3 linked regions of the Macaca mulatta genome follow. The protein of the gene in region 3 purifies or fractionates together with the protein of the main gene of each other region. This does not show direct contact. Links are inferred from orthologs where the notes say so. Each region holds a gene or a part of one and is shown on either strand. Other genes may lie near its edges.

Region 1 (4,229 bases), on a different chromosome or scaffold from region 3:
ACTTGTACATATGTTAAATTTTCTGATTTTGATGATTAGTATGTGATTCTAGAAGAGAAAATGTGTCCTCAGAAAGTAGACATTGAAGTATTTTGGTATAAAAGGAAGTGGTGTCTGCAACTTACTCTCAAACAGTGCAGGAAAGTAATAATAATATGTATGGACATACAGACTGTGACAAAGCAAATGTTAACAGTTGGTAAAACTGGAAGAAGAGTACACAGTAGTTTTTTGTTCTCTTCCAGCTTTCAGTAGATTTGAAATTATTTCAAAGTAAGTTGAAAAATGCAAAAGACTTCATTTAAAAAGTTTGGCTCAGAGAAGTGAGACTGGAGTTGTGAAATATTCTCTGAAAACTATGCAGCCTAGTCATCTCTTTAAATAGATGAAGCTTTATTTTTGGATTCGGCAGATCCCTTTGTCCATATTATCCTGGCCCCCAGCACACCAGTGCTCACTCAGTCTCAGAGTTTAGCAGAGGAGGATTCAAGGATACTGGGATGAAATTTATTTGTAAAAAATACTGTTTATCACACTGTCCAATAAATCATTAGTGCCCACTATGTATAGCTCCACATTAATGTTTTTACAATTTAGTACTACAAAAAAGGCTTTTTTCACCCAAGAAACAGATATTTCTCTTGATTTCTGATGACAGAAATTACATAACTATGACTCTTATGATGTTGTTGGATAGGAAGACTAAGCTCAAATGTGCGGACCAACTTCAGCAGCCACTGGGCTAAAGCTCAGGGTGACTTCCTAGGTCCCTTCTTTTCCTTTGGCTTGGTTATTTTTATCTGAATTTTACCTTTTTTTTTTCCTATTTTGAGGCAAAACTGAAGCCAAAAATCATTTTAGCTCTCTGGGAAATACAAGATGTGCTCAAGCTGGAAAATTCGGGCTCTTTCAGGCTCCTTCTGGCCATACACTGGCTATGGGGAATTCACACGGGGACTCCCTGCCACCGTTTCTAAGTCTTGACACCAACTTCTGAAGCATGACTTTGGGCCACAAAATAGCGATCTATAGAAGCTGAATCTCCAAGTGAGCCAAGCTACATTAATCACTTACCTCAAAAGGTCAAAAGTGAGCATGACATTTTGGGTATTTATAGCAAGAGAGATGAGTAAGGTCCATGACTTACTAATATGAAAGGTATGCCAACTCTGTGAGCATTATTTTATTGCTACTATCAAGAAATCCTTTATACTTCAATAGTTCTGCAAGACCAAAAACACAAAGCAAAAATCTCACATGCAAATATGGAAATGAAAAATAATTTCATCTGCTGGTTTCATTCTTGACACAATCAGACCTGAGGGGACATGAGATGAACCCACGGGGCGGGGGGGGTGGGGAGGAGGGCATGAGTTAAGAGGAGTTGTAGTATCAACAACACTGACTTTGTCTTGTTAAGTTTTAGGTAGAAAAGCAAGTTCTAAAATAAACAGCTACAAAGGTTGATATGATGTGTATTTCAAAAAGAACTCATACAAGCAAAGAGGCAGATTTTTCCAGTCCACAACCACTTCTGGTCGCTTCAGCAGTAAAAAGGAAGGAACTACCAGTAGGAGATGGACTGTAGCAAATTAAAGACGGCACCCCCACAAGGTTGTCAAGGAAACCAAACCGAGTGCATTTTTCTATAGAAAAGAATCAAGGGTAAGGTGAACATGCCGTGGAACATTCTGTGGCAAAAATGATTAAAAACCCTTCTTGAAAAAAATCTCTAAGAGACCAAATTTACTTCCACGCTATTTTACTAAGCACTACATCCATAACGCAAGCAGGCAAGCTTGTATTCCCAAACTACCAGCTACATGGATTCAGCAAACAGCTTACTACAACCAGCTAACTTGGGTCACCGATATTTCGGGACATTTCCTACGATCTCTTTAATAGCTTAACGGCATCGAAGGGGTCACACTCAAAAAGTTAAAAACAAAAACCTGTACCACAATTCCACACACACGCTTTCCCAAATTTAGGGTGTTTTTCAAAATGGAGTCTTTTTAAACACATCATCTTTCAGCGAAAAGGCAAATCTATGCAAACCAAAGCGAGAGCTTGGCCTGAGTGTGCCATTTCATACTGGAAAAGCGCAGGGAGGGCAGTAAAAAGGGTGTCAAGTTGGGAGATCGATGCAATTCTCTCCACAAGTAGGTGGTAAAGAATCCTCAGCCAGGAGGAATGACATGCACACGCGGGCACAGAACGAGGGTCAGTGCTGCGAACGCTGGAAGGCAGGGACACCGTTCGCTAGGAGGTGAGTGACGTTAAAGGATCTGCAGTGATCTGTGCCTCACGCTGGCGAATATTCCTAGGAGGGGAGATCCCGCGCTCCCGGTGCCCCTCAGGGTGTCCACCCCGGCGGCGGCCGGAGCCGGGCTGCGGGTCCAGGGACCCGGCCACGTGGGCGGGGGAGGCGAGGAGCGCCGGGCTCGCTCAGAGTGGGCACCGCGTCCCTCCCCTCCGTGCTTTTCCTCTTGTGACCCTTCCCGGCGGGGAAGAGGGGGTTTTACGACGTCAAGGCAAGGCTTGGAGGGAAGCGGCGGCCGGCGCCCCACCTGCCCAGGTAGGTGGACGCGGGGCTCAAGCCCGGGGCGACGGACACAGCTCGACCTCCAGGTGAGGTGGACGCCGGGGGCCGGGAGCGGGGCCGCGGAGGAGCGGGGGTGGGCGCCGAGCGGCTCTTACCCGGTGCCACAGTCCACCACGCAGGGAGGCAGGGAGCCCGCCATGCTCGGGACGCGCGGCGCTCGGCCCCGCTGGCCCCCCGGGAGCGCCCCGCCGCTGTCCGCTCGGCCACCCGCTCGCCCTGCGCGCCGCGTCTCCCGCGAGCCTCCGCAGCGCCGCCGCCAGGAGCCCGGATGCTCGGCGGCCGACACGTGACGTCACTCCCGGGTTGACCAATCAGAACGCGCGTGTGCCCCGCCCCCTCCCCTGGCGCGCCATCTTTAGTGCTGGCAGCGAGGCTTCTTGGCCCCACACGTTCAACGTTGCTGCTGGAGAGATTGGGGTTTATTTTTAACCAACTTACATGAACGTGACCCCATTTCCGAGGCCTGGCGCCTTTCTCATCCTGTAACTCTTCGCTCGAATGTCACCTTGCGAGGGAAGTTGTTCCTGATCACCCTGACTAGGTCCCCTACCGGTACTGTATCCTCTGCCTCAACAAAGTGTTGGTTTCATTCCTAACCCTTAAAGCAAAGTGTTTATATTTTTATATTTATGTATTTGTAGTCTGTCTCCCGTACTGGACTATCAGATCTTCTAGGATAGGGCTTGAGTCTGTCTTAATAACTATTGATGAGCAGCAGGTGCTTAGCACAGTATTTGGTGTATATGTGGAAGTGCCCAAATGCTTGTTGAATGACTGAGTAACCTTCCCCATATAGCAAAAAAAAAAAAAAAAAAAAAAAATTAGTTGGAATTGCCTGGGCGCGGTGGCTCACTCCTGTAATCTCAGCACTTTGGGAGGCTGAGGAGGGCGGATCACAAGGTCAGTAGTTCCAGACCAGCCTGGCCAACATGGTGAAACCCCTTCTCTACTAAAAAGACAGAAATTAGCCGGGGGTGGTGGCAGGCGCCTGTAAGCCCAGCTGCTCGGGAGGCTGAGGCAGGAGAATCGCTTGTACCTGGGAGGCGGAGGTTGCAGTGAGCCAAGATGGTGCCATTGCACTCCAGCCTGGGCAACAGGGCGAGAGTCCATCTCAAAAAAACAAACCAAAAAAAAAATTAGTTGGAATTATTATACTTAACACTGCCTAAATTTTTCTCAGAAGAAAAATCTGCAAAACAAATGCTTGGACAGCCTTAAGGAATGAATGACCTTAGACTGAGTTAATCACACCAAGATCACTCCTGGAAAATGTTTTCAAGTGTCAAAGATGGGATGATTGCCCAAAAGTTCTTACCGAAACCAAAGAAGGCAAACACCACCTACTATATTATAAAGTTACTGAAAGCCCCACTTGCCACTTGCTTCCTGCTTCTTGCCCGATCGTAAATTCTTGATACTAATTTTTTAGGAGCTTTCTGGAAACATGTCGTTTTTTTATTTTGTTTTTTGAAACAAGTCTCACTCTGTTGCCCAGGCTGGAGTGCAGTGGTGCAATCTCAGCTCACTGCAACCTCCGCCTCCCAGGTTCAAGCAACTCTCCTGTCTCAGCCTCCCAAGTAGCTGGGATTACAGGCGCCCACTACCATTCCCAGTTAATTTTTTG
Region 2 (4,254 bases), on a different chromosome or scaffold from region 3:
TACAAGAGACCTCAACTATTTTGTCCCACCGAATACTCAGAGTCAGCACAGTCCCTGCCATAACAGAGTAGGTAAGCAATACTTACCTGCCAAGTGAATAAATGAAACACCCGATTCCATCCCCCAGGCCAGCTTAATACCACATTAGATGATCTCACGGACTGAATAAGACATCCTTCCTTTTAAAGAATATTTTTATTTTAGCTTCACATTAGCAAACTCAGAATGGTTTATTGTTAAGATCAGCCTGGTAGAGAGGAAAGCTATTAACCTTCTAGGGTCCTAAAGTGGAACTAGGAACTGATTAGATACGCAGATTTTCAGGCATTATTTCAGACAGCCCAGTCAGAGAATTCTGGGGGTGTGGCCCAGCAATCTGTTTTAACAAACCTTTCGGGTGATTCTGACACACACTAAAGTTTGAAAGGTTTCTTTAAGGCTTTCCAGTTTTCTTTTCTTTTTTTGGAGGGATGGTGGTGGTGGTGGGGGGGTCTCCCTATGTGCCCAGACTGATCTCGAACTCCTAGCCTCAAGCTATCCTCTCCTCCCACCTCGGCCTTCCAAAGCATTGAAATTACAGGCCTGACCCACTGCGGCCCGCCTCCGTCTTTAACTTAAAAAAAATTTTTTTTGGGGGGGCTAAATCCCTTCTATTATCCCGCTAGTAGAATCTTACTACTCCTGAGGGTAATCTTTGTCATAGTCCAAAAGCCTTGAATAAAGGCTGTTTGTAGTTTTGCAGAATATATTCCTGGGCGGTTTGCCTTCCTCAGGAGCTCAGGCCTTGGGAGGTGGGGGTTGGAGGGCAGGGCTACATTCTGAAGTCCTGTAACAACGCACAAGTACAACTGAATAAAACTCGGAACAAAGGCATCAGGGCCACGGTGCAAGCCTTTGTTCATCCGTTCCCCGACTGCTCACCCTGTGTGATATCGCTCTTTTCCACCCAGAAAAGCAGCCACTCAAGTTTTAAGAATGGATGCATGCCGCGGACGTTTTCGATTAGGCCGTTTTCTCCCAGGCACTGGAGGATATTCGTGGCTGCAGGAGGCGCTTCCACTCTTTCCTCAACCTAGCAGAGAAGTAACTGAAACTAACCCAAGGGCTACCACCGAAAAGCCCCTTCCAGCTTCAGAAGCAGAACTAGAAGCTCGGCTAGACTTCTCCGTCTCTACCCTCCTGGAAAACCCGCTGTGGATTTCACTAACTTCAGGATCGGAGCCCCGGCAGGCGAACGCACCTTATTGCGCATGCTCGCTAGCCCCTCCCGCTCGGAGCGGAAGGGGGAGTGCTCGGGGCCTGGGCCTGGCCTGGCCGGGGCGTCGGCACCGGCGGCCATCTTGGCTTCCCGGGGAAAGGCGGCGTGAGGGGAAGAAGTTGTAGGGTGGGGGCAGGAGTGGGGAGGAGGGAAGAGAGAGGGGGAGGAGGCCGCGGCGGGGCAGGGCGGGGACTGCCTGCCTGCTTGGGTTGCGGAAGTGATAGCCGCTGACCGAGCCTGCTGCTTTCTTGCTACTGCTTCGGCTTCCCGGCTACCCCCCGGACGGTGAAGGCGGCCCGGCTGTGGATGGTCAGATAGCGCCTGTCTCCCGCCGCCAATCTCTGGCCCCTAGCAGCACGGAGCAGACGGCGGCAGCAGCAGCAGCAGGCGAGGAGGAAGATGGCGGGACGGCTGCCGGCCTGTGTGGTGGACTGTGGCACGGGGTAAGGGGGCTTACGGGCGGGGGTGGGGAAACTGAGGCGGAGGAAGGAAAATGGCGGGGGAGGGAGGAGGCCGGGAAATGAATGGTGCGGCGAGGTGCTGCCGCCGGCTGTCAGTCCTAGACTCGCCGGCCAGCGAGGGGTGGGGCCCGGAGCCAGGGCCTCGCCGGTCCCCTCGTTTCTCCCTCCTAGGACTGGGGCGGGGGCGCGGGCCCCAGATTCAACCCCCAACCCTCCCTGCAGCTTCCTCCGCGCGACCCCTCCCGGCCCTTCCCCCACGGCGGTGGGCAGTGCCGCCCAGAGAGTGCTAGGGACGGTCGTCTTAGGGGTGGTCCCCGGGCCCGACCCATCCGGCTTTGCTTTCCCTCCGTGTCCCTTTTTGCCAGTCGGTGTGGGGACCCAGGGGCCGAGCTCGGGGACTGGCCTGGTAGAGGAGCTAGAAAAGAGAAGCGCTCCTGGTAGGTTTTGCAAGATCGCTGTGACAACATTCTGCCCAGGGTGTGGGTGGGGAAAGGGAAGAATCGGACTCTGAAAATGGGAACCTACAGTGGGGTTTTCATTTGACCACCCACCTTCTCCTTTCGACTCCCGGTCATTGCCATCTCCCTCTGCGTTTCAACCGGTGAACCGAGTCACATTTTAATTCGAGGGAGAAAGATGTCATGTGTTACTTCTGTAGCCTCAAAAAAGTCCCCCAGTGAGCAAGCGCGCTGTAACTTCCTTAGTTTTGTCAAAGCCGCTTCCTGCTTTCAGTCTTTTATACCCTTATAAGGTAGTTTTTAGTTTCCAACCTGAACACATCTTATTAGAACTTTTAAAATTAAGCAGATTTTAAAGAGACTGAATTACAGGTGCTTGGTATCCATTTATATGACTTAAAAAATGTGCTTATGTTTCATGGAGAGGGGAGAAAGGAAGCACCCTGGGAAATAAACTAATTTAAGTTGTATTCGTTCATTCTGTAAAGGTATCTTGAAGGAAGCAGAAAGGTATAGAGGTATATAGGAATGTGTTTAAGTTGCAAGTAGTTACTCCTAGATCTGTAGGGTAGTTTGCTAAAATGTAGAATGGCTTAAAAGTGATCTTTCATTTTGTATTAATAGACATTTTAGAGAGTTGTACCACACTCATAACTACATAGAGAATAGACTACTCTTATTTTAATGTAGAATCACTGCTTCACGATGACTTATAGGAAGGGTTTTTTTTTTTTCTGTTCTGATTACATCTCTCCAATTCCCAAAACACTCCCAATTTTTTTTTTTTTTTTTGAGGGGGAAGGCAGTGAGAGGCTTGTTTTTTTATTAATTATAATTATTAATTTCATTATTGTTACTTAAAAGATTGTGTGTCCTTCACTCTTTACGTGAAATTTCTTTAATCTTCATTCTCATAACTAGCTAGTGTGGCAGTTTCTAAAATCCCAATTAGGTAGAGAGAAACAACCAACTTCTTAATATTCTCCCTAGGAAAGCACTAGCCTAGATTAGCCTTGGAACTTCCATGTATTTTATTGATGAACACTTTATTATAAAGTTTTTCATGAACACTTTATTATAAAGTTTTTTCTTAATTGGTTCTCATTTCTCGGAACCAATAGTTTTTTTTATTTCCCCCTTCTTAGTCTAATTGATGAGTAGTTTTATGTCTAAGTTCAGTTTTAAAATTAGATTTGGCCTGAGTCAGTAGGATAGAACTTTTTAAATGTGTTTTGTTAAAGTGACGAATATTGCTACATAATTAATGCTTTAGAAATTACTGAGTTGTCAAAAAAAATAGTGTAAATAACTGTGGCCCTAAGAAATAATATGGTAACATCTCAAGTAGTATGTTACTTTTCTAATCTCCATTTTTCCCTCTTTGAAATAGTTTCGAATTAGTATACAGGATGTCTCATTGAGGTCATCTGTCCTTAAGTGACCTCCTTTCCTAAAGGGCAACCTTGAATTTAAAACATGCTGAATGACCAGTAGGATCGGGGAGAGGGGTTCAATTTAACCTAGAGTATTTCTGTTTTAAAATTACAATTATTACAATAGTATATTTTTAAGTTATTACACTGGTTTCTCTGATAAGGAGAGGTTGTTAACTGCACTTTGATGATTTGAATGGAACTGATTAGGAGTCCCCTTGCCACCTCCCTCTCTTTACCATTTGTCACAATCTGAAATTCCCCCTTTAGAGTTTCAGTTATTTTGGTCCTCAAAAGGCTTTTTGGTCTTGCAAGTTGCCAGTGGTGCCTCCTGGGAAGTTACACTTTCAGCTTTATTAGCACATGGAGGATAAGTCCTTGAGGTCGAGGACCCTGAGATAAGCATCTCTAAGTATGGCCTTAACAGGGAGCTTTTACATTTCAAAATTCTGTGGGCCCCGAATGCAAATTGTGCACCTATAATTTGTCTATTTCTTTATGCTTTAGAGAATGCATTCAGTTCTTAGGTCTCTAAATTACAATTACCCACTTAGCTTAAGTAAAAAGTTGTAACCTGAATCAGGTTGCTCATTTCATTCGTTATATAAATTAGGGAAAAGGTGGCTGGAAAAAAGTGGCCATCT
Region 3 (4,063 bases):
GTAGCTGGGATTACAGGCCTGCGCCACCACACCCGGCTAATTTTGTATTTTTAGTAGAGACGGGGTTTCAGCATTTTGCTCAGGTTGATCTTAAACTTCTGACCTCAGGTGATCCGCTCGCCTCGGCTCCCGCAGTGCTGGGATTACAGGCGGAGACTTTTCTTTAGCGCCAGTTTCCCACTATGGGAGTCTGTATCCTGGTTACCACGGAAGATTAGGTTGCATCATAGTCTGGCAATAGTTTTTTGATCTTTAGACACAGTTCAATGAGAAGTATTCGAAGCAGTAAAAATGAATCACATTCCAACTTTTATTAACAAGGGTACTATTAGATGAAAACAGTTTTCATAGTATTATATAAAAGACCCATTTTACTTACCCTAAGGCTAAGATCAATTAACAGAACCCCTGGGGTAACAGCCCAGGCACCAAATCTGACACCTCAGAGTCGTCCTTGACTTCCCTAACCCGCTTTCCCGCATCTCAGATTCTGAGAATTTGGTTTCTATCAAGATGTGCCTCTCAAGCCAGGCCTCTCCTGCCAGGACGGTGGCCACAGGGCCATCTCCCTCTCCTGGGGCCCCAACTGCCTGGTCAAGGTGACTGCTACACACGTGGGGCCGCAAAATCCCTCGAGTCACAATGTCTTCAACGCCTTGTCAGCCCTCTGATCGCACTAAACGTCTTTAAAGCCTCCCACTCCTTTAACAGGGTCACCTCTGTGTAAAGGAGACCTCCTCGTGCTAAGTGTGGCGGCGTTCAAGATTCCAAGACACAGACCCCTCCCGCGTCACTCCCCGGGCACAGGAACTCCTACTCATCCCTCAGTCATCAGCTCGAAGGTTTCTTCTCCAAGAAGCCTGCCCAGCACCCGAGAAGTAGAGCCCCGAGCCTTCTCCCGGGCGCCCAGTCTTCCCCCGTACAGGCAAGGATCACCCCGGAAGCCCGCGCCGGGCCCCGCTGAGGCCAGGGGTTCTTCGGAGGCGCGGGAAAGCCGGATCACCAGCGCGATTACGGCACACACTATGCGGGGCCTGCAAGGATACCGGGCGGCCACTCCTCAGTGGTAAGACAGAGGCTCCGCGGAAGAGAGACTGAGGTCGGAGAGGCCGCGGAAACCCCATAGCGCACTCCACGGGACAGGTTCCGCCCCGCCCCGATGACGCTTCCGGATCCGGCGTGTGCCGGAAGTGGGCGGGCGGCGGCGGCTGCGCGCGGAGGCGGTGGAGGAGGTGCTGGGAGCAGCCCGGTGGCCGCTTCCCGCCCCCGAGCCGGAGCCGGTGCGAGTGGAGCAGAGCTGAGGTCGGGCCGCGAGTGGAGCCGGCTGAGCGGGCGCCGAGCTCCCGCCATGGCCCGGAACACGCTGTCCTCGCGCTTCCGCCGGGTGGACATCGACGAATTTGATGAGAACAAATTTGTGGACGAGCAGGAGGAGGCGGCGGCGGCGGCGGCGGAGCCAGGCCCGGACCCGAGCGAGGTGGACGGGCTCCTGCGGCAATATCCTTTCCTGACGCGGCGTCCGGGCCTGCGCGCGGCCTTCCCACCTTCTCGGGCCCCTTCGGGCGGGCCTCTGCTGTCTCCGACCCCCGGCCCCCTCAGGTCAGCCTTCAACTCCCTGCCGACCTGACTCCCCTGGGCCGTGCTCCCCTGAGTCCTGGTCTCCCTGGGTCCTTCCTCCCCAGCCCTGGCCCCTTCTTGTGCAGCGCAGCCCCGCAGGCCCTTGGACCCGGTGGACGGGCTCCCTCGGTAGCCCCGCAGGTCCCGCGCCCCGGGCTCTCTTCCCCTCTTGCCTCCTCGTCCCCTCACGCTGTCCCTTTCTGGGGGCCCCAGCACTCCGTCCCTCCCTTGCAGGAAATCGGGCCTATGGCGGGGCTGGGTCGGCGGCAGGGCGGAGGTGAGCCGTATCTGAGTAACCGAGTGATCGGTGAGGCTGGGGCGCGGTCTTCCGGGGCCAGATTGCCGCAGGGCGTGAAGATAGGTGGGTGGACCGCTGTGGGGAAGACAGGACCCAGGAGGGAGTGGAGGCGGCCGCCCTATTTCAGCCCTGGGGTCTAAGGTTGTGCCTCCCCTCCCCCAGTCAGTCTAACCCTCCCGCTTAATGCTGAGAAAGGGAAACCCTGTGGTTCCTCTGGTCACCTTGGTGGTCTCAGCTACGCTCAGCAAGTGAGTCTTGGCTCCCCCCAGTACCCTTCTGGTGCAGGAAGCAGCGGAAAGAACTAGTAGTTCAGAGCTAAGAAAAACCAGACACCTTGAAGTGAAGTGTGAAAGTAGAGCCCCACGCCTGGAAATGACTGTTCTTGTGGCCACAGAAAACAGCATTTAGAAAAGATTAAAAATAGAGGTGATTGTCACAGCCTTGCTTGGTCCTTTAGCAGTATGAGCGCAGGAAACTGACTTATTCTCACCGGAAGGATTTTTCTTTATTCAAATGGTGTTCCAGGAAGCCTGTCCCCTCCCCCCGCACGGGCGGGGGCAGGGTTGGAGGCCCATGCTGTACATAAATCAGGTTCTCGGTGTTGAACCAGTTGACTCAGCTTGGAAAGTGGGGCCTGCTGCTTTAGGGGGAGCCCGGCAGTGCTCCTCAGTGTGCCTTTAAAACGAAAACCTTCAGACTTGGTTTGAACAGGAATGTGTTTTCGGAAGTGGAGATTCAAGCTTGTCATTCCTGCCCCATCAGGATCTCCCAGTCCACCCTAGTTATGAAATGGGGTCAAGGGAAGGGTCCCCAGGAGGGAAGGTTGGTTGTAGTCAGGTGCAGGGCCTGGCTTATGGAGAGTCAGTGCTGAAGGGGGCTCCAAGGTCAGGCCTTTGGCCCAGGACCCTCATTGAACAGATGAGGAGGTCAGGCCTGTCAGCTGCTGCCTTGGTCTGGGTGCAGAGCCTTGTTGAAGGTCATGTCTTGGGATTCCCCTGCCTGGTGACAGGTTCCTTGAGGCTGCTTAGAGGCCTGGGTTTAGCACATCCCGGGGATGGTCGTTTCTCCATTCATGGCAGCGGCAGAAACCTTGTTACCATGGAGAGTGTTCCACCTGGGGTTGGGGAAAGGGAGGTTAGCGGATAAAGAGAACTGAAACCCTGGCAAATACCGGACCCAGGTAGGGAGGAGAATGGAACTGATATTTATTGGGTCTCTATCATGTGCCAAGAATTGGACTTAGACCATTGAGGACAGGGGAGCAGGGAGAGGGATAGAGGGATTGGGGTTGGGGAGGGCAGAGAGGAACCCTGTCCTGGGGCTATATAGGGAAGTGTGTGTGGCGGGAGATCACGCAGATGGGGTAGAAGGAACTCGGCTGTGCATCTTCGCACACCGCGCGCCATCATGCTCTGGCTCTGACCTCGGATAGGTCACATACCCTTTCACAACTCAGCATTCTCCTCTGTGACGTGGCAGACAGCCGTGCTGGCTTCCTAGGTTCTGTGGGAGCCTCATGGGCTAACATCAGCATCACGGGGCACACAGCAAGTGTCTGCTCAGGTCTGCAGCTAGAGCGGCAGCACGGGATTGTGGGAGGAGCTTGGGTGCCAGGGCCATCTAGACAGCTTAGTTTTGTGACCCTGTGCAGGTAATTTCCGTTCTCTGAGCCTCAATTCCATTGCCTTTCAAATGAGATAATGATTGTTGTTACTGGGATTTTTGGAATGAGATGGCATGTGAAAGCACCAGGCACAGGATCCGAGACCTTGTGGCGATTTAAAAGTATGAGTTCCTTTCCCCTCAGTGAAGCAGCTTCTAGACTTCTGGATCAGGGCTCTGGCCAGAGCAGTGGTTTTGAGCGATTTTGCACCCCTCCTCTCCACCTCAGGAAATTAGAAACATTTTGATAGTTACAGCTTGGGGATGCCACTGGAATCCAGTGGGCAGAGGCCTATGACCCACAGCTGAGATCCCACGTCAGAGAATCGTGGGTCCACAGTGTCAGTTGTGCCGTGATTGAGGAAGATCTAGAGATCAAGGGCTGGGCAGGGTTCCCCCAGCACCACAGCCTATTCTCTGAAAAGGTCTAAAGCCAGCCAAGTGTGACAGCCGGCTTCATGAATGATAGGTGATTTCAGGGAGGCC

What was found. The genes of interacting proteins can lie anywhere in the genome.
Region 1: the proteins of ARPC5L (region 3) and ACTR3B purify together in Homo sapiens (affinity purification with mass spectrometry; 3 studies listed by BioGRID and IntAct, counting the BioPlex papers as one, with this or other methods). This does not show direct contact. The link is inferred for Macaca mulatta from reciprocal best matches to the Homo sapiens genes ARPC5L and ACTR3B.
Region 2: the proteins of ARPC5L (region 3) and ACTR3 purify together in Homo sapiens (affinity purification with mass spectrometry; 6 studies listed by BioGRID and IntAct, counting the BioPlex papers as one, with this or other methods). This does not show direct contact. The link is inferred for Macaca mulatta from reciprocal best matches to the Homo sapiens genes ARPC5L and ACTR3.

The regions. Positions count from the first base shown.
Region 1 is NC_133408.1:192,182,800-192,187,028, reverse strand, and holds the start of ACTR3B (actin-related protein 3B), read right to left. Parts: upstream 2,807-4,229; 5' UTR 2,745-2,806; coding exon 2,701-2,744; exon of another isoform or gene 2,571-2,700; intron 1-2,570. UniProt on the Homo sapiens protein: Plays a role in the organization of the actin cytoskeleton.
Region 2 is NC_133417.1:23,708,188-23,712,441, reverse strand, and holds the start of ACTR3 (actin-related protein 3), read left to right. Parts: upstream 1-1,448; 5' UTR 1,449-1,657; coding exon 1,658-1,701; intron 1,702-2,270; exon of another isoform or gene 2,271-2,432; intron 2,433-4,254. UniProt on the Homo sapiens protein: ATP-binding component of the Arp2/3 complex, a multiprotein complex that mediates actin polymerization upon stimulation by nucleation-promoting factor (NPF).
Region 3 is NC_133420.1:22,905,295-22,909,357, reverse strand, and holds the start of ARPC5L (actin-related protein 2/3 complex subunit 5-like protein), read left to right. Parts: upstream 1-1,262; 5' UTR 1,263-1,348; coding exon 1,349-1,498; intron 1,499-4,063. UniProt on the Homo sapiens protein: May function as component of the Arp2/3 complex which is involved in regulation of actin polymerization and together with an activating nucleation-promoting factor (NPF) mediates the formation of branched actin networks.